2 linked regions of the Struthio camelus genome follow. The protein of the gene in region 2 interacts with the protein of the main gene of each other region in a biochemical or structural test. Links are inferred from orthologs where the notes say so. Each region holds a gene or a part of one and is shown on either strand. Other genes may lie near its edges. The genes, in order: HNF1A and dual specificity tyrosine-phosphorylation-regulated kinase 1B-like.

Evidence for each region.
Region 1: of the proteins of dual specificity tyrosine-phosphorylation-regulated kinase 1B-like (region 2) and HNF1A, one has a biochemical effect on the other in vitro, tested with the Homo sapiens proteins (2 studies listed by IntAct, with this or other methods). The link is inferred for Struthio camelus from reciprocal best matches to the Homo sapiens genes DYRK1B and HNF1A.

The regions. Positions count from the first base shown.
Region 1 is NC_090958.1:8,141,908-8,152,995, reverse strand, and holds the start of HNF1A (hepatocyte nuclear factor 1-alpha), read right to left. Parts: upstream 4,715-11,088; 5' UTR 4,376-4,714; coding exon 4,041-4,375; intron 2,791-4,040; exon of another isoform or gene 2,518-2,790; intron 388-2,517; exon of another isoform or gene 14-387; intron 1-13. UniProt on the Homo sapiens protein: Transcriptional activator that regulates the tissue specific expression of multiple genes, especially in pancreatic islet cells and in liver. Binds to the inverted palindrome 5'-GTTAATNATTAAC-3'.
Region 2 is NC_090974.1:149,097-160,431, forward strand, and holds the start of dual specificity tyrosine-phosphorylation-regulated kinase 1B-like, read right to left. Parts: upstream 5,325-11,335; 5' UTR 5,092-5,324; intron 1-5,091. Other genes in the region: FBL (rRNA 2'-O-methyltransferase fibrillarin), read right to left, coding at 8,109-8,130, 8,854-8,999, 10,152-10,264, 11,232-11,335.

The sequences.
Region 1 (11,088 bases), on a different chromosome or scaffold from region 2:
AAGTAAATATCAAGTTGTTAGCATTAAAGAAAACCCATTTCAGAGAGCTGAGGATGTAACATTCGGGGGACCTTCTCCCTCCTTCACTCTTCCTGACTTTTCTTTCTCTTTCTTTTTCCTTTGTTCCTTTCTTTCCCCTCCTCTTCCTCATTCCCTCTGTCTCTCCTTTCCTCCTTCCCTGTTTTCCAGGTTCCCAGGCAAGAGAAGCCCTCATTTCTCTGAGGTAGATTCTGAAGTGCTGCTTTGGACCAGACCTTGGTTAAGCAGAGGTTCAGAGCTGTGAAGTGCTCAGGACCATCCTCTGGCCCTTTCCTCTGGAGCTCGCCAGACAACTCCCACTGGTGCCAGTGCACAGCCCGGAGCCGGGCTGGGCAGAGAGCAGGGAAGGTAAGACCGTCCCGGCTGGGTTCTTTTCTATTGAACTTGGCCTGGTTTGCCTCATCTTGGTTTATATGTGGAAATGAAAGGGGTGTGGCAGCTTCATGTCCAGATCCTCAGCTAGAGCTCTTCTAAGACACCACTGACATGGGGGAAAGACCAGACCTGTATCATTACATCTTTGTTTTTCTTTCTTCCTTCTGGAAACCAGGCTTTTATCCCTGCCTCCAGGGGAAATCTGTTGCTTATCTCAAGTTCTCTCTTTCCTAGTGGAATTTCACCCCTTGCCCTGCAGGTGGATTATTGCTATATCTCTTCTTGTTTGCTGTGCCTCCGGTAGTATGGCCTGTCCAGACCCCCCAGGCTGTCTCTCCAGGGAACTCCAGGGAATATCTGGGAATTACTCCACACACCTCCATCTCCCTAGTGAGGTTATTCTTTAGCATAGACGCAATTCTTTGTGGAGTGATCTGGAGAGAATATTATTTTTAATTTTGCAAGTCTGGGGAAGACCAGTGAGACTGATTTAGGCACACAAAACAATGTTAATTCATCGCTAGCAAAACCTTTCTCTGAACTGCCTTTATCAGTCCTGTCCGCAAAGGACAGAAGGTGACATGCCTGCAGGTGCACCCCGCTGCGTGGGTGGTGTACCTTGCCCACATCCTGGCGTGCTCAGTGTTGCTCAGTAGTTCCCAAACTGTGGCTCCCTCTTTAGTGGTCCTGTGAGGACAGATTTGGTCTCTTGGTGCTGTCATTTTTAATTTCCCGCTCCTGGAAAGCCTAGCAATGGACACTTCTCATGCTACTTTACTATATGAGCAATGGCTGCAGCTACCCACAAAGACTTTCTTGTGTCACCAATAGCTGCCCAAAGTCAATCCCTCTCCTAAAATGTGGTCTACAGTATTAGTCCAGGACTTTTTAATAGTGCCCAGCAATGCTTCTGCTTAGAGGTAAAAGTGCCTCCATCTGGTTTCTCAAAGACTTGAAATGCTTGTGTAGATGCTGAAACAGCTTTGCAAGCATTGAAGTTGTGCTTGGAGATCATTTTTTTTTTGCCTTCCTTCCTTTCATCTGCTGCTGGGAGTAATTTCTGTTAAAGACTGTTCTCCCGTATCTACGCTTATTTGTAACACTATTTTAAGGACGTTACCTTTAGGTGTTTGTTAATGGAAAGGTTTGTTCTTACAAAAAACAAAAAAAACCCAGTATGTATTAGTTGGTAGCTACTGTTTATGTACCATCAGACCCTGGTATTGACATGCTTTGAATATACTTCCCAGATATACAGTTGATTTTTTTTTAAGTCTTTGACCAGAAATATGAAGACTGTCAATATGGGCTTCCTACTCTCTCCATTCCACCTCAAATAGTTTTGGTCCATTATATCCCCCCATAAGGACACTTGTAACTGGGTGGCTTCTGGTTCCCTTTATACTGCCCTGAACAGCAGAAGTGAACTGATGTATCCTGTGACATTGAGGACTGAAGAAAGCAAGCCCTGAGGTTTCAGAACAAAGTGTTGCAGTTAAGACCCAGTACAAGGCTTAAGAGATCCTGGCTCTTGCCCAATCCTCTCGCCACTGTCCTAGGGGTCTTTAGATGAGTCAGAGAATCTGTACCTCAGTTCCCATTTCTGTAAAATGGGAATGCTGCTCAGTTGGCCATCTAGAAGGGAGACCATTGATTGGAAAGCATAAATAATACTGCAGGCACGCAAGGTAGGTAAGAGTGTTGTGCTGAGACTGGTAGGAAGCACAGGAGAGGCTGGTAGCCAGCTCCTGGAAAGGCAGGGAGGATCAGAAACTGGAATTCATGGTGAAGCGAGGGTGGCAGGAAGGAGCCCCTTCTGTCTGTGAGTCTGCTCTCAGATTACGGCAGGCGGCCCTTCAGCCCTGCTGCACCCATTCATTACAGAGTGGGACAAAGCCGGGTGCTCCTCTTCCACCTACATGGCTGCCTTTCTGGAGAGATACCTGATAAACCATCAGAAGTTAATGATCAAAAAGCTTATCAGGGTCTTTTCATCTATAAATTTATAAGACAAAAGAGAAATAATAAAGCCATTGGATAATTAGTAACTAGCCAGGGCCCGCCCGGTGCCACTGGGCTCAAACTACCCCAAGACCTGTACGCAGACTCAGGGAGAAGAGAAGGAGACAAGGATGAGGGGAAGGAAAAGAGTGAGGAAGGATGTGAGAGAGAATTAGCCAGGAAGACATCAAAATGGGAGGACTAGTGGCAGAGACAAAAGTGAGGAGAAAAAGGGAACAGGTAAAGAGAATGGGAGAGCAACAGTACGGGGAAGAGGAGATGTAGCAGAGCTGGGGGGGGGGGGGGGAAGAAAAGAGAGGCAGACTTTTGGGGCCAAAAAGAAGATTGAATTATTGGGAATGTTTCCCCTCCCAGGTAAGAGCTGATCCTGTGAATTTTCTTCCATTGAGAACTGCATAGACATCAGCTCCCAGCTGCTCTTCTCTTAAATATTTACAGCGAATGTTAACGCCTGTCATGCTGTTTTTCTAGCTCTGGCCTTTTGTAGTGGGATTTGATGTTTGCCTCTTATTGTTGCACTTTGTTAATTCCCTTTAACCGTGAAGAGGATTAATCAGAAGGCCCAACAAATTCTCTAACTGGATTTTAGTTTTAGTGAAGATTTGAAATGCAGGACGGTGCTGCATCTCGTGTCTCCCAACAGCTTGTGGTTTCAGAGTACCTCCAAAACGGAGGGGCAGTATTCTGCTGCTGTTGGGCTAGATGGCTTTGAAGGACCTGATCCTCGCCTGGACAAACCTCTGAGGGTGGTTATTAGGGCTTGCACCCCAGTAAGAATCCCAAACGTGAGTCCTGGTGAATGTTTCTCTGGGCCTGTCATGAGACTCGCTGGTTTAGGGGATTCTTCCTGTCTTTTGACTTAATGCTTGCATGCAAAGGCAAATTTCTGTGGCAGTAAAACCTGTAACTGTTCCTATGTGTGCTCTGTAGTTACGGCAGACGGCGGAGGGTAGGAGCATAGCGAGTTCTTTCTAACCTCTGCGTATATTTGGTTTCTGCTCTTTCTACAAGAAAAATCCCCAGTGAAGTCAGGAGAATTTCGCACATGCACGAAAGACAGGAACAAGCTCTCTTGGTTTATCTTTGACAAATAACATCTATAGGAAAAGCCAGTAAAAAAAATTTTAACCTCCTTAAAAATAGCAGGAAAAACTAAAACTCTCTACCATAATTTCTAAGACTACTGCGAGGCCAGTTAACAGAGACCAGATTTTTATGGGCTGCTTTTATTTTTATTTTTTTCTCCCTTGATGACAGAATCTGTGACTCCTATAAAAATTAACGTTTAGTCAGAGAGATGCAGGGTGTCCAGGCCTCGGAGTGCTCTGACGCCCGTTTCCTGATGATACGAGCACTTCTAATGTGCAATCAGGCTCCATAGCTCCCTTTACGCATTGGAAGTGTGATCAAAAGACAAGTTTGAGCATCTGCAAAGAATTTGGGGGGCTGCTAGTCCTGGCATGGATGAAGACAGTCTCTGTGCGGTTAGATCAGCTGTGAATACCAGGGACGCTGGTAGGAAGAAAGGAAGGGGAAAGGAAAGAGATTTGGAGGGAGAGAATACAAGAAAGAGCAGCAAAGAGGAGCAGCAAACGTGTCCTTACTGTAATAGTCTCTCCACCACAGCCTTCTGGTGAGCAGCCTCCTCAGGGCTCAGGTTCTCCAGCTCCTTCATTATCGGAGGGGTAAATTCCTCCCCATCATCAGAGGTTTCATCTTCCGATAACCTGGCCTCCCCCAGGCCGTTGGGGAGAGCGGGGATTTCGGGGCACGAGTCCCCTTTCTCTGTCTGGAGGGCATGGATGGCGCGCTGGCTCTCGCTCTGGAGGACGTAGGGCTCCGCTTCGCTCAGCGCCTTGATCAAGGTCTCCTTGGTCAGCCCCGACTCCAGCAGCGCTCCTAGCAGCTCCACTTGAAGGTGACTCAGCTTCGAGACCATGGTCTTCAGCCTCGTGCCTCTTGGGTTTGAATTTCAGCTTATCCTGCCTCCAGCTTCCCTACACCATGTTCCCGAGGTAACGCGCCTGACTGTCGGCAGAGTGGGCACAGCGCAGCCTCCCGCCTTTACGCCCCCCCCCCCCAAAAAAACAAAATACAAAATTGAGCCACTTCAGACCCCCCACGACTGTCCTGAGCCGGTGCTGATAAAGGGACCCTTGGCTATCTGTTTACATTGGAGCAATGTAAATTCTCCAAGGTTCATATTTATCTGTGTGCTTAGCAAGTTACTGAACTTTGGACTTCAGCACGGCAGCAGCAGTTCACAAAGTGCAGAGGGAGAGAAAGCAGGGGGAGGGGGAAAGGGAGGGAAGGAGAGGAAAACGGAGGGGTAGAAGGTCTGCCAGCATGGAAAAGAAAAAGATACGGAAAGAAAAGTAGGGAAATGAAAACGGGGAAAAAACATGGCTCATTTCTGGCCCCATTAGTTTTGGAGAAGGAAGGAGGCGGAGTAGCCAAAAGCAAGGGGTGGGTTTGGCGGTGCCTGTGCAGGAGAAGGTGCTGCTGGTGGGAGGTTGTGGAGCCCACGCAGAGCTCCAGCAGCAGAGAGGTTCAACCAGCCCCTGCCAAGGCGTTGGCCCTGGGAGACGGCTGCGTCGGCAGCCTCGCTCGCCTTTGCCCACCCCCCCGGCCGACCAGTGCAACTGCTGGGTTTACAGGGAAGTTCCCAAGACTCACGGCGTGTTGTGGAGCTCCAGCTGACTTCTACGGCACAGCATTGAGTGTTAAATGACTTTTTCACTTCTGGCTTTGGCTTGCTGGAGTACCTTGATATGCAAATACTGGTACCTCCTTTATAACTTGCTGTATGTATTGTTTAATTGATGAGCGTACCCACATAATTTGGGGGATTACATGACTTGCCCCGTTGAGCTGATGATTCAAGCACACGATAAGGAGCAGCCCTGGGTGTTGGTTCACACCGAAAGTCCCTGCCCTATCTCCGATTGCTCTGCTTCTCTGGAGAAGTGCCCTGGACAGGCTGGTGGTTCCCGTTTAGCATCTACCTCCATCCCCTCTTGATGCCGGCTGTGCTTTCTGGTTCTACCCCCCACCTTTTGGGTGACTTTCTAAAACACCCTAGCCAGCTTGGCTGGCGTTGCTTGGAGTTGTCGGGAGGCCGCGATGACTGGTGGTCTTTTCTCATCTGCAAATATATGAATGCATCTGTTTACTTCAAGGGGCTAGGGAATAACTTAGTATGCAAGTGTGGGCTTGATGGTGTGTAAGGGTCTCGTGTGAATGATTTCTTCTTGTGTGATCGATGGGAGAAGGGTTTAAAACTGTTGTTTTAACAGAGGTTTCCTAGGAGCAACTACTGGTCTACTTTTATATACTGCCATCAGGCCCAAGCTAAGAGGAGCTTAGCCATCCCCATAGGATGGCCCCAGACTGAGCACTGGCCAAGACGCTGCTGCAGAGCGACCTTGGCCGGTTTTCCCTTCGCGGGCAGCGGGAGCCGTGCTCGCCAGGCTCAGCACGGAGGGGCTGAGCTCCTTGGCAGGTTGGCGCCCTCCTCCCTGCAGTCGCAGCAAGCTGCTGCTGGGCTGACCCCGCAGCCAGGACTGCTGCTAACTGTTGGCCTTCGTTTCAGAGGCGTCTGCCCCCCGAGTGCCAGCTCCCCTCACTGCTGGAAGCTGAAAAGGCTCAGACGGGGCTCCAGCAGACTCCCTCCGTCTGCCTAAAAAGGAGTACCAATTCAGAGTCCGTGTGAAAATATTTAATGTAAAATAAGATCTTTAGTTTCTAAATACTTCACTATGTTCATAGCAGGTTTAGTAAAGAGCATTTAAAAATGTTCAGCTTTTTTGGCATTGTCCTAGCAATATTTGGATACAATTTCTGTACATTTTATTTTTGATTACAATTTTCCTCATCCCGCCCCCCCCCTCTCCCCCCAGTAGACAGTCTAACAGTGCTGGCTGGTAACAGTAATTACCAATTGTAATGACAGTACCCAACCATGATGTATGGTTTCAGCATGATGCATCCTTGTAATTCAAGGATTTTGCATGCAGAGACAACAGATTGTGAGCTCGCTGCAATATGTGGCAGGGAAGATGCTGCCATGTCTTGTTACTTACTTCTGCCTTTGTGCACAGTGATTTTGTTTACCTAAACTAGAGGGGATGGAAAATGCTAACATTGTTTTTATTTATAGACTGTCCAGTCTATTTTCTGTGAATATATACTTCTGTTGCACACTTGCAGGAAAAAAATCCTGAAGTTTAGACAAAGAACAGCAGTATTTGTTGGGGAAACTGTAAAGAAGGAAAAAAAATATATCAAGAAATTATCTGTATTTATCATGTGGTTTTAAGGATTCCTCGTGTACCAGAAGCCCCTTCCCTCTTGGTTCTGCTTGCCCCGGAGGCCTTCAGCTGCTGAAGCTTTTAAAACAGCCTCTCTTGAAACCAATGAACTTCAAAGGCTATAAAACCAAAAATGAACATCTGCCTGTTTGTTAGGACCTACAGGATGCTACAACTGGATACCACATGAGGAATCCTGCGTTTAACGTGGAAACCTTTCAAATACTGAGGAAGAGGTAAATTTCTCCATCACTCTATCCTTGAAGGTCTTTTTCCCTTGATCTATTGGAGTTGCCCATTTTAAACTCCAAGAGCCTGGACAACCAAGGAAGAGGTAAAAACTTTCCTTAAAAATGTCTACACTGTCATTTTTACATTCACTGTAACCTGCCAAACCAGATATGCTAGCAAATGATTCAGCACTCCATCAAGGATCTAATTCAGATTCTTCAGTGCAAGGAAACCAGTGAGCTTTTCAGTGTTTCTCAGATGTTACAAATTGCTAAACTGTCAGAATGAACAAGTGGGAGGTAGGACGGAAACTGTTGCTATGGGTTAACCAGCACCCCTTTTCTATATATTGACACTGAGGACTGCAAGCTCGGGTTTCTCAGATTATTACAACTGCCACAATATCCTGCTGAGAGGTAATAAGGATAGCAGAGGTCAAGAGTGGAAGCTGCAAAGCTTTAACCAGCTAGATTATAGTTCTAGTAGTAGAGCAAGAGCTAAATTGTAGAGTACCATAATCCAAACAATATATTCCTATATCTAAATTGTGCCTCATGGATTTTGCCTTGAGAAGGAATAGTTGAAAGAAAAGGATTTGGCTTTGCTATACCCATTTGCATTCTATATCAGTTGATTTTGTTGTTTTTTGTACTTGCTTTGTTGATTTTCTTACTTGCAAAAATTTACTGGGGCATATCTTGATTCTCGAGTCACCCGGAATAACATGATGCTGGTAACTGTAAGGGAGAGGTAGTTTTTGAAGTATGAAGGCCCCGAGTGATACCTGCCTTTTCTCATGTTTGTCTGCAGTATCTGGTTTTGTATTATTTTTTCCTCCTGCAAACTTATTTTTCATTAAGCATAACTAATATGGTGGTCGAGATCCTTCAAACAATACTTCAGTAACAAGACACGAGCAGCTTTACAACAATAAACTGGTAAGCTTAATAGAAAGCTCAAGAAAAATGTTATATTAACAGAATGGTCTGGATGCCGATTGGAGAAATCTATCGGTTAGTAATCATAATCACACCTGAGGATTCTGAGCTCTGTAGGTTTTTTATTTTAATGGCATGCTTAATAAAGATTCTTTAAACATGTTCAAATAATCTGCATTGTCCTACCTACGCTTTAATACATTGTCTGTTTGTTTTATTTTTATAAGTTTCTTCCCTTCAAGTAGTAGGCGGTCTGGTAACACTGTGTGACAGCTGCATCACAGAACGGGGTTGCTGGCATTCTCCAATAGGCTTCCAGGCAAGGACGGCTTCTCTTCCTGTTTCATTCTACTTCATTGATAAATAATAGTCTGCCTTGATAAACTGTTCCAATGGATTGCCTTCTCCCAAGAACATGTAATAAGGTAGTTGAACTGTGGATTAATAAATAATGAGGACTACTCCATGAAAGTATAAATGGGTATATAATAGGAACTTTATTCTTATTTTAGACCTATTGGTCTGCATTCTGCTTATTACAGGAAAGCCAAACCAAGTGAAATAGTTGCGCAGCAGAGTAACGTGAACAGAAGTGCAGGTGGATTAGAGGTTCCCAGAGCCTGACTCTTGTATCAATACAATTGTTATCTTCAGTGTTTTAATTTGTTAAATTATATCCACCATCAAGTATACACAGTGAAAAATACAGTGATTGACTGGGATAAAGCCTAATGCCATGACCTCAAGGAGCATGCAGAGAAAGAAAAAAACTAAATATTTTTATAGTAAAATTGCTAGCAGAGGGAGCCTGTATAGTTCCATGAATACAGTGATAAAACTGCCATTGGCCAAAGAAGTATTTAGAAGTGGTTCCTTTAATAATTCTTTGCCATTTTATGGTTCCTCCAGCTGAGACTGCCAAATGCTTTATTGGCCTGAAAGACATTACTATCATCCCCTCCTTGAAATGTGAGAATTATTGTTATCGTTGTGTTCATCCCTATTTCTGTGATTGAGGAAAAGAAAGCTACACAAGTGCCAAAACCGATTATTATTTGTGCCCTGGGAGCTTGGCCCCAAGTGGCATGCAGGAGAGTGAAAAATCCCAGATAATTGTCATTGGTATGTTGTTTTCATAGGGTTGGATTTCAGCTGTTTGTGTGAACCTCGAGTATCGCAGCAGGGAAGGACTCCCTTGAATATGTGATTCGACTACTCCTAATACATACCCATTTAACACTTTCATGTAGTAGTCCTTGTTGTAAATACGTGATTATAATAGTAAATATGTCTTTACAGAGGAGCAAAGCATTTTTAGTTGGTAGCCTTCTCCCGTTCTCAACAGAATAACCAACCTTAGGACTATCGAAAGAGAGGCAAGAAGAGAGCAAGGCTATCTTTTGATTTAGATGCTAGAGCACCTTCCCAACTTGGCACCCTGCAAAGAGCAGTAAGGAGAGTTGCATCCAGAAGAACAAACGTTTCACATGCTCATCTGCGCAGAGGGCACTTTGCAAGTCTCCCCAGGGAATGGGGCTAAGGCCTAACAAACATTAGGGACTGCACTGGCTGCAGCTTAGGGGGACAAATTATAGGCTGTAATCTCTAGGTATTACCAATATTATCTCTGCACTCTTCCTCTATGGGAAGCAGGACTCTGTCCTCCTCATTCATCCATCTGTCCCTCCTTCGCTTACTCTCCGTCACCAGGGTGAGGATGAGGCTGGAGAGCGAGGGCAGTGCTGGAGCTCGGGTAATGAAGGAGTTTCCCACTAGGTGGTGGTGAAGAGAATCGTGTGACACGTACCGGTCAGCACATGCTTTCTTTTTAGCAAGGGGAATCCTACTAGGATCTTACAAGCAGAACAGCCGAGCGCAGCTCTGAGCTGCACTGCCAAACTGAATCTCTGACTTCTGCCGTCCCCTTCTGCTCGTTTCCATGCTACGTGTTCCTCCCAAACCCAAGCAGGGTTGACAACTCTACCTGTCATGTCCCTTCCCAAAAGGTGCAGTCTCCGCATGAAGCTGCTGCGGTTCTTTCCATCGGCCTGCTTGATGAATCAAGACATGGTTAGCTAAAACGTCCTCTAATGACATTTAAGCTCTTCAGAGGTGAGGGCTTTTTGTAGCGAGTGCTTTTGTCTGATTCTCCGCCACCACGCTTGCCTCCCTGTGCTCTGGGAGTTACGCTGCCAAGTAGGGGGGAAAAAAACCAACAACTTATTTTTGTTTGCTGCTTGTGCTGAAATACCTTTGTAAGTCTAGGTAGTGCATCAGTCTACATCAAAGGCACCAGACAGAGCAAGTACTTTGAAAGGACTTTGTAACGTCAAGAGTAAACTGTCACTGAAAGTCAGAGGAAAGCTTTGTACGTCTGAAGAAAGTCTGCACAAGCAGTACACTGAGAAAATTATCTGGGGAATGCGAGCTGTGCCCCACTTTGGAGTATGAGCAGATGCTGGGTCTGCAAGGAAGAATACATTTGTCCTGTGAATTGATCCCACTGCTATCATGTAATGATAGAGCATGCTTGCAAAATTGTCATTTATTAGTCTAGTCACAAGTCTGAGATGCTGAAAAAATTATGCTTTAATTGCTCATCAGCTAAAAATCACTTGTGTCAAATTAATGTGCTAAGAATTTTGCAAGACTAAGAAGCTAACTAAGGCCACAAAGCAGGGACATTGTTGTTTTATAGATACCAACATCAGTTTTACATCCTATTCTCAGGAAAAGAGTCTCAGAAAGGAATCTTTAGTACCAAGACAAGGTTGAAACACTGGTTTATCCTTCCCCCCATTGATTCAAAAGGATAGATAGGTTTCCTCTTGCATTTACTCTGTCACGAGCAGTGAAAAGGATTGCACAAGCATGCACCCTGCAGCCACCGTGGTTGCAGCACAGCAGAGCGTGGATTCCAAATTAATTGTCAGTTTTCTAATTGTCACTAGATGTTTTTGCTGGGGTGTGGGAGGAGAAAGGAAAGGGGCTTCTCCCTCAAATCAGTCCCACCATTAGAGTCAGAGCATTCTTCTTATTTGGAGGCTTGGGGTGAGAGTGCGGGGAGTCTAGAGTTTCCACCCAAACTGATCAGTGTGATTTTGAGCACAACTCACTCCTCTGTCCTTGCATCCCCCCCCCACCCCCCCAGAGCTTTCCGTACCTCCTGAGAT
Region 2 (11,335 bases):
GGCTCCCCATTGGCCGCCCGCCATCCCCGCGAGCCAATGGCGAGCCGGCGGCCCCTGTCGCTAGGCCGGCGCCGGGCGGCAGCGGCTGAAAGCGGAGCCGGCTCCAAAAATACCTCGTCTGACCCCAAAAATACCCCCGGCTTCCAGGAAGGGGGAGGGGGGAGGGGGGAATTACCCCGGGAGGGGGGGCAGCACCGCTCCTGGGGGGGGCAAAACCCCCAGAATTGCCCCTCCCTCCCCCAGAGGGGACCCCAAAATCTGCCCCCTGGGGGGGGTATGGGGGGGCTTAAGGGACCCTGAAAGGGTTTAACTGACTCCCACAACCCCGAAACCAGTATGGACCAGTGTGAGTGCGGGGTGGGGGGAACTGGGATAGGATTGGGACAAGGTGGGGGGGGAACTGGGCTGGGATTGGGACGAGGCGGGGCGGGGAACTGGGACGGGACTGGGAAAAGCCAGGAAGGGAACTGGGACGGGACTGGGACGAGGCGGGGCGGGGAACTGGGACGGGACTGGGAAAAGCCAGGAAGGGAACTGGGACGGGACTGGGACGAGGCGGGGCGGGGAACTGGGACGGGACTGGGACAAGCCAGGAAGGGAACTGGGACGGGACTGGGACGAGGCGGGGCGGGGAACTGGGACGGGACTGGGACGAGGCGGGGGGGGGAACTGGGACGGGACTGGGAAAAGCCAGGAAGGGAACTGGGACGAGACTGGGATGAGGCGGGGGGGGAACTGGGACGGGACTGGGACGAGGCGGGGGGGGAACTGGGACGGGACTGGGACGAGGCGGGGGGGGAACTGGGACGAGGCGGGGGGGGGAAACTGGACTGGGACAGGACTGGGACGAGGCGGGGGGGGGAAACTGGACTGGGACAGGACTGGGACGAGGTTGGGGGGGGGGGAACTGGGCTGGGACTGGAACGAGGCCGGGGGGAGAACTGGGCTGGGACTGGGACAAGGCGGGGGGGGACTGGGACGGGACTGGGACAAGGCGGGGGGGGACTGGGACGGGACTGGGACAAGGCGGGGGGGGACTGGGACGGGACTGGGACAAGGCGGGGGGGGAACTGGACTGGGACAGGACTGGGACAAGGCGGGGGGGGAACTGGACTGGGACAGGACTGGGACAAGGCGGGGGGGGAACTGGACTGGGACAGGACTGGGACAAGGCGGGGGGGGGAACTGGACTGGGACAGGACTGGGACAAGGCGGGGGGAGAACTGGACTGAGACTGGGACAGGCCAGGAAGGGAACTGGGACAGGACTGGGACAGGTGGGGGGGAACTGGGCTAGAACTGGGATGAGGCGGGGGGGAACTGGGCCTGCACTGGGATGAGGCAAAAGGGGAACTGGGATGGGACTGGGACGAGGCAGGGGGAGGGAGGGGGACGCACTGGGCCCATACTGGGATGAGGTGTGGGGGGGAACTGGGCCCGTACTGGGACGAGGCGGGGGGGGAACTGGGACAAGGTGGGGGAAACTGGACTGATGCTGGGACGAGGCAGGGGGAGGAACAGGGCCCATACTGGTACTGGGGGATCTGTACTGGTGGAACTGGGAGAGCTATACTGGTACCAAGGGATCCATACTGGTACTCAGAAACCATACAAGTACTGGGGGACCCATACTGGTACTGGGGGGACTGGGAGGGCCATACCAGTAACCAGAGAACCCAAACCAGTCCCAGGGAGACCCATACTGGTACTGGGGGGAACTGGGAGGGCCATACCAGTAACCAGAAAACCCAAACCAGTCCCAGGAGGACCCAAACTGGTACTGGAGGACTGGGAGGGTCACACCAGTAACCAGAGAACCCAAACCAGTCCCAGGAGGACCCAAACTGGTACTGGAGGACTGGGAGGGTCACACCAGTAACCAGAGAACCCAAACCAGTCCCAGGGGGACCCATACTGGTACTGGGGGGACAGGGAGGGTCATACCAGTAACCAGAGAACCCAAACCAGTCCCAGAGGGACCCATACTGGTACTGGGGGGACTGGGAGGGTCATACCAGTACCACAGCACTCAAACCAGTCCCAGGGGGACCCATACCGGTACTGGGGGGACCGGGGGTCCCACACTGGTACTGGGGGGACTGGGAGGGCCATACCAGTAACCAGAGAACCCAAACCAGTACCAGGAAGATCCATACTGGTACTGGGGGGGGATTAGGAGGGCCATACCAGTAACCAGAGAACCCAAACCAGTCCCAGGGGGACCCATACTGCTACTGGGGGGACTGGGAGGGCCATACCAGTAACCAGAGAACCCAAACCAGTCCCAGGGGGACCCATACTGGTACTGGGGGGACTGGGAGGGCCATACCAGTAACCAGAGAACCCAAACCAGTACCAGGAAGATCCATACTGGTACTGGGGGGGGATTAGGAGGGTCATACCAGTAACCAGAGAACCCAAACCAGTCCCAGGGGGACCCATACTGGTACTGGGGGGACTGGGAGGGCCATACCACTAACCAGAGAACCCAAACCAGTACCAGGGAGACCCATACTGGTACTGGGGGGACTGGGAGGGCCATACCAGTAACCAGAGAACCCAAACCAGTACCAGGGGGACACATACTGGTACTGGGGGGGGACTGGGAGGGTCATACCAGTAACCAGAGCACCCAAACCAGTCCCAGGGGGACCCAAACTGGTACTGGAGGACTGGGAGGGTCACACCAGTAACCAGAGAACCCAAATCAGTCCCAGGGGGACCCATACTGGTACTGGGGGGACTGGGAGGGCCATACCAGTACCACAGCACCCAAACCAGTCCCAGGGGGACCCATACTGGTACTGGGGGGATTAGGAGGATCATACCAGTAACCAGAGAACCCAAACCAGTCCCAGGGGGATCCATACTGGTACTGGGGGAACTAGGAAACCCATACTGGTGGGACTGGGAGCGTCATAGCAGTACCGGGGGACCCATACCAGTACCAGCAGGAACCATACTGGTACTGGGGGACTGGGAGGGTCACACCAGTACCAGAGGTACTGGGGGACCCAAATCAGTACCAGCACATCCATACCAGTACTGGGAGAACTGGGAAACCCAGGAAACCCATAATGGTACTGGGAGGCCATACAACTACTGGGGGAGCCATACTGCTACTGGGGGGACTGGGAGGGTCATACCAGTACTGGGGGACACGTATGAGTACCAGGGGGGGACCCATACTGATACTGGGAGGACTGGGAGACCCATACTGGTACTGGGGGGACTGGGAGGGCCATACCAGTACCACAGCACCCAAACCAGTACCAGGGGGACCCATACTGGTACTGGGGGGGGATTAGGAGGGTCATACCAGTACCATAGCACCCAAACCAGTCCCAGGGAGATCCATACTGGTACTGGGGGGACTGGGAAGGTCATACCAGTAACCAGAGAACCCAAACCAGTCCCAGGGGGACCCATACTGGTACTGGGGGGACTGGGAGGGCCATACCAGTACCACAGCACTCAAACCAGTCCCAGGGGGACCCATACCAGTACTGGGAGGACCGGGGGTCCCACACTGGTACTGGGGGGACTGGGAGGGCCATACCAGTAACCAGAGAACCCAAACCAGTCCCAGGGGGACCCATACTGGTACTGGGGGGGGACTGGGAGGGTCATACCAGTAACCAGAGAACCCAAACCAGTCCCAGGGGGACCCATACTGGTACTGGGGGGACTGGGAGGGCCATACCAGTAACCAGAAAACCCAAACCAGTACCAGGGAGATCCATACTGGTACTGGGGGGGGGGATTAGGAGGGCCATACCAGTAACCAGAGAACCCAAACCAGTCCCAGGGAGACCCATACTTGTACTGGGGGGACAGGGAGGGTCATACCAGTAACCAGAGAACCCAAACCAGTCCCAGGGGGACCCATACTGCTACTGGGGGGAATAGGAGGGTCATACCAGTACCACAGCACCCAAACCAGTCCCAGGGGGACCCATACCGGTACTGGGGGGACTGGGAGGGCCATACCAGTAACCAGAGAACCCAAACCAGTCCCAGGGGGACCCATACCGGTACTGGGGGGACTGGGAGGGCCGTACCACTAACCAGAGAACCCAAACCAGTCCCAGGGGGACCCATACTGGTACTGGGGGGACTGGGAGGGCCATACCAGTAACCAGAGAACCCAAACCAGTCCCAGGGGGACCCATACTGGTACTGGGGGGACTGGGAGGGCCATACCAGTAACCAGAGAACCCAAACCAGTCCCAGGGAGACCCATACTGGTAATGGGGGGACTGGGAGGGCCATACCAGTAACCAGAGAACCCAAACCAGTCCCAGGGGGACCCATACTGGTACTGGGGGGACTGGGAGGGCCATACCAGTAACCAGAGAACCCAAACCAGTCCCAGGGAGACCCATACTGGTACTGGGGGGACTGGGAGGGCCATACCAGTAACCAGAGAACCCAAACCAGTCCCAGGGGGACCCATACTGGTACTGGGGGGACTGGGAGGGTCATACCAGTAACCAGAAAACCCAAACCAGTACCAGGGAGATCCATACCGGTACTGGGGGGACTGGGAGGGTCATACCACTAACCAGAGAACCCAAACCAGTCCCAGGGAGACCCATACTGGTACTGGGGGGACTGGGAGGGCCATACCAGTAACCAGAGAACCCAAACCAGTCCCAGGGGGACCCATACCGGTACTGGGGGGACTGGGAGGGCCATACCAGTAACCAGAGAACCCAAACCAGTCCCAGGGGGACCCATACTGGTACTGGGGGGACTGGGAGGGTCATACCAGTACCACAGCACCCAAACCAGTCCCAGGGGGACCCATACCGGTACTGGGAGCACTGGGGGACCCCTACCGGTACCGGAAGGGCCTCAGGGCCCAGTGTCAGTACCGGGGGGGGGGGGGGGGGGACCCGAGAGCGATGCCGGTAACGGGGCGAGGGGAAAAGCCCGTTAGAGCCGGACCGGTACCGGCTGCCCCGTGACGGGCGCGGAAAGGGCGGACGAGGCCGCGGCGCCGGGGTTGGGGGGGAGGGGGGAACCGGTAGCCGGAGGCCGGTGGCGGTTGCCGGGGCCCGAGCAGGCCCCGCCCCGGGGAGGGTCTCACCTGTGGCGGCGGCGCTGCGCGGAGCGAGGCGGAGCGACTGACCCCAGCGAGGGGAGGAGGAGGAGGAGGGGGAGGAAGAGGAGGAGGAGGAAGGTAGCGGCGGGGCCGGGGCCGGACCGGGCCGAGGCCGCTAACGGCCGGCGGCGGCGGCGCCCCGGGGATTTCCCAGTAATGCCACGGAAAATGGCGGCCACAACAAACCGCCGCCGCTTCCTCTGCGCCTGCGCCGCCCCGCCCAATCGGCGCCGCCGCCGCCGCCGCGCCCCGCCCAATCAACGCCGCCAACCCCCGCCGCCCCGCCCAATCAACGCCGCCGTTGCTGCCGCCGCGCCCCGCCCAATCGGCGCCCGCGGAGGAAAAGCGGGAGATGGTTTGGGATGGGTTGGGGGGGGGGGGGGGCCTCCGCGCATGCGCACCGCCCCTCCCGCGCACGGGCAGACGTCACCAGCGCGCGCCGGGGTCCGCCCCGCCCTCCTCAAGCCTGCGTGCGCCTGGGGTGGCACGTGACGCCCGGTCAGAGCGCCCGACCGGCGGCAATGCGCATGCGCGGGAAGGAGCGCTGACGGCTGCTCCCCCCCAACGGCCTCGGGGTGGGGCTGAACGAGGCCACGCCCCTCGCCGCTGCGGGGAAGGGGCGGGGCCAATAAAAGCCCCGCCCCTAGGGGGTGGAATCTGCCTCTCCCCGGGGCAATTAGCCCCCCCAACCTACCCCGGGAGCAAGTAACACCCCCCCCGGACCCAAATGCGCCCCCTCGAGGGGGGGAAATAACTCCCAACCTACCCCTGGGGGGCAAATAACCCCCCCAGGACCCAAATTTGCCTTCCTGGGGGGCAAAAACCCCCCCAACCTACCCCTGGGGGGCAACTAACCCCCCCCCAGGACCCAATTTTGCCTTCCTGGGGGGCAATAACCCCCCCAACCTACCCCTTGGGGGCAACTAACCCCCCCAGGACCCAAATTTGCCTTCCTGGGGGGCAATAACCCCCCCCAACCTACCCCTTGGGGGCAACTAACCCTCCCCAGGACCCAATTTTGCCTTCCTGGGGGGCAATAACCCCCCCAACCTACCCCTTGGGGGCAACTAACCCTCCCCAGGACCCAAATTTGCCTTCCTGCGGGGCAATAACCCCCCCAACCTACCCCTTGGGGGCAACTAACCCCCCCAGGACCCAAATTTGCCTTCCTGGGGAGCAATAACCCCCCCAACCTACCCCTTGGGGGCAACTAACCCCCCCCCCAGGACCCAAATTTGCCTTCCTGGGGGGCAATAACCCCCCCCAACCTACCCCTTGGGGGCAACTAACCCTCCCCAGGACCCAAATTTGCCTTCCTGGGGGGCAATAACCCCCCCCCAACCTACCCCTTGGGGGCAAATAACCCCCCCCAGGACCCAAATTTGCCTTCCTGGGGGGCAATAATCCCCCCCAACCTACCCCTTGGGGGCAACTAACCCCCCCAGGACCCAATTTTGCCTTCCTGGGGGGCAATAACCCCCCCAACCTACCCCTGGGGGGCAACTAACCCCCCCCCAGGACCCAAATTTGCCTTCCTGGGGGGCAATAACCCCCCCCAACCTACCCCTTGGGGGCAACTAACCCTCCCCAGGACCCAAATTTGCCTTCCTGGGGGGCAATAACCCCCCCAACCTACCCCTTGGGGGCAACTAACCCTCCCCAGGACCCAAATTTGCCTTCCTGCAGGGCAATAACCCCCCCAACCTACCCCTTGGGGGCAACTAACCCCCCCAGGACCCAAATTTGCCTTCCTGGGGAGCAATAACCCCCCCAACCTACCCCTTGGGGGCAACTAACCCCCCCCCAGGACCCAAATTTGCCTTCCTGCGGGGCAATAACCCCCCCCAACCTACCCCTTGGGGGCAACTAACCCTCCCCAGGACCCAATTTTGCCTTCCTGGGGGGCAATAACCCCCCCAACCTACCCCTTGGGGGCAACTAACCCCCCCAGGACCCAAATTTGCCTTCCTGGGGGGCAATAACCCCCCCCAACCTACCCCTTGGGGGCAACTAACCCTCCCCAGGACCCAATTTTGCCTTCCTGGGGTGCAATAACCCCCCCAACCTACCCCTTGGGGGCAACTAACCCCCCCAGGACCCAAATTTGCCTTCCTGGGGGGCAATAACCTCCCCCAACCTACCCCTTGGGGGCAACTAACCCCCCCAGGACCCAAATTTGCCTTCCTGGGGGGCAATAACCCCCCCCAACCTACCCCTTGGGGGCAACTAACCCTCCCCAGGACCCAATTTTGCCTTCCTGGGGTGCAATAACCCCCCCAACCTACCCCTGGGGGGCAACTAACCCCCCCCAGGACCCAATTTTGCCTTCCTGCAGGGCAATAACCCCCCCCAACCTACCCCTTGGGGGCAACTAACCCCCCCCCCCCCAGGACCCAAATTTGCCTTCCTGCAGGGCAATAACCCGCCCAACCTACCCCTTGGGGGCAACTAACCCCCCCCAGGACCCAATTTTGCCTTCCTGGGGGGCAATAACCCCCCCAACCTACCCCTTGGGGGCAACTAACCCCCCCAGGACCCAAATTTGCCTTCCTGGGGGGCAATAACCCCCCCAACCTACCCCTTGGGGGCAACTAACCCCCCCAGACTGCAAATCTGCCCCCCCCAGAGGGGGGTAATAACCCCCAATCTACCCCTGGGGGGCAAATAACCCCATCCCAGGCCCCGAATCTGCCCCCCCAGGGGGGTAATACCTCCCCCAACTACACTTGGGGGCGATTACCCCCACCATGGGGGCAATTAACTCCCAACCCCCTCCTGCCCCTCCCCAAAAGGGGGTAATTACTCTCCCCTATTGCCCCCCCCCCCAGCCATGAGCCCCCCCGGCTGTTTTTTTTCCCCTCTTATTTTAATAAAAACCCGCCGTAGCGCACACACACACAAAAAAAAACCCCAAACGCGCGAGAATTCGCCCCAAACCGAAGGGTCCGAAGCGCCGTCGGGAGGGGAGGGGGAGGAGGAGGAGGAAGGGGACGAAGGAGGTGTCACTTCTGCTTGGGCGCCGGCCTGGGGACGAAGAAGGGGGAACGTGTCACCGCTGGTGGCGTGTCCCCTCCTCCCCCCCCCCAACCACTGTCCCCTTGTGTCACCCCCTCCTGGCCATGGGGGGGGGGCGTCCCCCTTCCTGTCCCCATCGTCCCCTTTGGGCCCCCCCCCCATGGCCCCCAGATGTCCCCGTGGCCCCTTCGTCTGTCCCCCTCACCCAGATGTCATCCCTCCGCGTCCCCAAGACACCCCAGCGTGTCCCCAGGTCCCCTACACCCCACCTCGTTGTGTTCCCTCACCCAGATGTCATCCCTCCGCGTCCCCAAGACACCCCAGCGTGTCCCCAGGTCCCCTACGTCCCACCTCGTTCTGTCCCCTCACCCAGATGTCATCCCTCCGCGTCCCCAAGACACCCCAGCGTGTCCCCAGGTCCCCTACGTCCCACCTCGTTGTGTTCCCTCACCCAGATGTCATCCCTTTGGGTCCCCAAGACACCCCAGGCTGTCCCCATGTCCCCTACGTCCCACCTCGTTGTGTTCCCTCACCCAGATGTCATCCCTCTGCGTCCCCAAGACACCCCAGGCTGTCCCCGTTGCATCTCCTCACCCCGTTCACATCCCCGAGGTCCACCGTGGTGACCAACTCCAACCCGCGTCCCCCTCCTGGAGGTCCCCAGCACCCCGTCACCCTGCTCCAGCCCCCTGGCCCCCTCTCTCAGTGCCCCCCAGTAGCTCCCGGCGGCACCTGTAGACGCCCACCACCACGGCGTGGTCGCGCTCGTAGGGCTCCAGCGTGAGCTGCTCCTGGGGCTTCATGTTCTCCTGCTGCATCTTCTTCACCTCGGAGGCGAAGACGGCCTCGGGCGCCGCCGTCGAGTCGATGCAGTTGGCCTTGGGGGGGGCGGAAGAAGGGGTGAACGGGGTCAAACGCCCCAAAAATGGGGAGGCCCGGGGCAGGAATGGGCATAGGAGGGGGAAAAAAACCCAAAATGGGGAGTCTTGGGGTGAAATCCCCCACAATGGGGAGTCCCGGGGCAGGAATGGGCATAGGAGGGGGGAAAAACCCAAATATGGGGAGTCTTGGGGTGAAATCCCCCAAAAATGGGGAGTCTCGGGGCAGGAATGGGCATAGGAGGGGGAAAAAACACAAATAGGGGGAGTCTTGGGGTGAAATGCCCCAAAAATGGGGAGTCCTTGGGCAGAAAGGGGGATCCTGGGGCAAAAATTGGGAGTCTCAGGGCAGAAATGGAGATTTTGGGGCAAAAATGGGGAGTCCTGGGGCAGAAACTGAGATGGGAGGGGAACTGTCCCCCTTCCCAGGATGTCCCTGGTATTACTGGTTCTTACTGGGTCTTAACTGGTTGTTACTGGGAGCCCCTCGATTGCTACGGGTCATTACTGGTCGTTACTGGGCTGTCTCTAGGGCGTTACCGGTCATTACTCGGAAGCTCTGGGCTGTCACTGGTCATTACTGGGGTTGCTTCCAGTTGTTACTGGTCACTACTGGGCTGTCTCTAGGGTGTTACTAGTCACTACTGGTGCATCCCAGGCTGATACTGGTCATTACTGGGCTGTTACTGGTTGCCACCAGTTATTCCTGGCCTGTCACTGGCCATCGCTGCCCTGTTACTGGTTGTCAGTGGCTCTTACTGGTCACTACTGGTCGTCATTGCCCTGTTACTGGTTTGCTATGGGATGTCATCAGTCTGCTACTGGTCCTTAGTTGCTGTCCTCAGTGCGTTACTGGTCGTTACTGGTTGTCACTGGCCCATACTGGTCACTACTGGTTGTTACCGGTCCATTGGTGCTTCATAACTAGCTGTCACTGCTCCATTACTGGCTATCACTGACCATTACTGGTCACTGCTAGCTGTTACTGGCCTCTTACTGGTTGTCACTGGTCCATTACTGGTCATCACTGGTTTTCACTGGCTCATTAGTGGTTATCACTGGCTGATAACTGGTCATTTCTGCTTGTCACTGGCCCATCAGGGGTCACTACTGGTTGTCACTGGCCCATCAGCAACCCGCCCCGCTCGTTACCTTGATGGAGATAACGAAGTGGCCACCATTGCGCAGGAAGTTGTGGGCGTTGAGGGCCACGATGCGCGACTGGTCGGGCTGCGCGACGTCCGCAAAGATCACGTCCACCATGCCTGGGTGTCACGAGGTAGGTGACAGGGGGCCGGGGACCCCCCCCCCCCCCCAAAAAACTTCCCACCACTGTGCTCCAGCCCCCCGAGATGTCCCCAACCCCCCTAAATCCTCTCCTGGACCTCCCGAAACCTCTTTGTGGTCCCCCAAACATCCCCTAACCCACAAAACACTCCCAAGAAACCTCCCAAGACACCAAGATGCCCTCGAACCTGTCTCAAGACCCCAAATCTTCATCCTAAACCCTCTTGTAGCCCCTCAAAACCCAACACACCCAACTGGACCCACACAAACCTCTCCCAGGTACCCCGAGATGGCCCCAGACCACTTTCTAAATCTTCAAGACGCTCCAAATACCCCCCCCAAACCTCTTCTAAACCCCATGGGACCCCAAGACACCTCTCTAGAACCTCCCTAACAATCCCAAACTCATCTAAGGTTTCCTTGACCTCCAAAACACCACCAAAAGCTCCCCCAGGTGGCATGAGATGCCACCAGATGCCCTCCCACATTTCCAAGACACCCCTAGACCCACAAAAACCTCTCCTAGACCCCCAACCCCCATCCTGGGCCCCCTTCTATGTCCCCCAAATCCCCAAACAACCCTTAGGAAGCCCCAGAAACCTCTCCCAGGTGTCCCAAGATAGCTCCAGATCCACCACCTGCATCTCTAAGATGTCCCCAGGACCCACAAAATCCTCCCCTAGACACACTAAGGCCCAAAGTACCTATGTAGGACCCCTAAAATAACCCCAAACTCACCTTAGGTCCTCCTGATCCCCACAAAAACACCAGAAACCTCCCCAAGATGGCATAGGACGCTCCCACACCCATCACCTGCACCTCCAAGATGCCCCCAAGACCTCCAAAATCATCTCCTAGCCACACTAAGACCCCAAAATAACTCTGTAGGACACCCCACAAAACCCTGAGGACACCCAAAACGCTGTCACCCGCAGCCAGGCTCACCGATGAGCATGCGGTACTTGTGGGGGTGCCGGGCGTCCTCGATGACGGGGATGACGTTGGTGCGTTTCTTGGCCACGTTGATGAGGTCGCGGCCGGAGCGATGG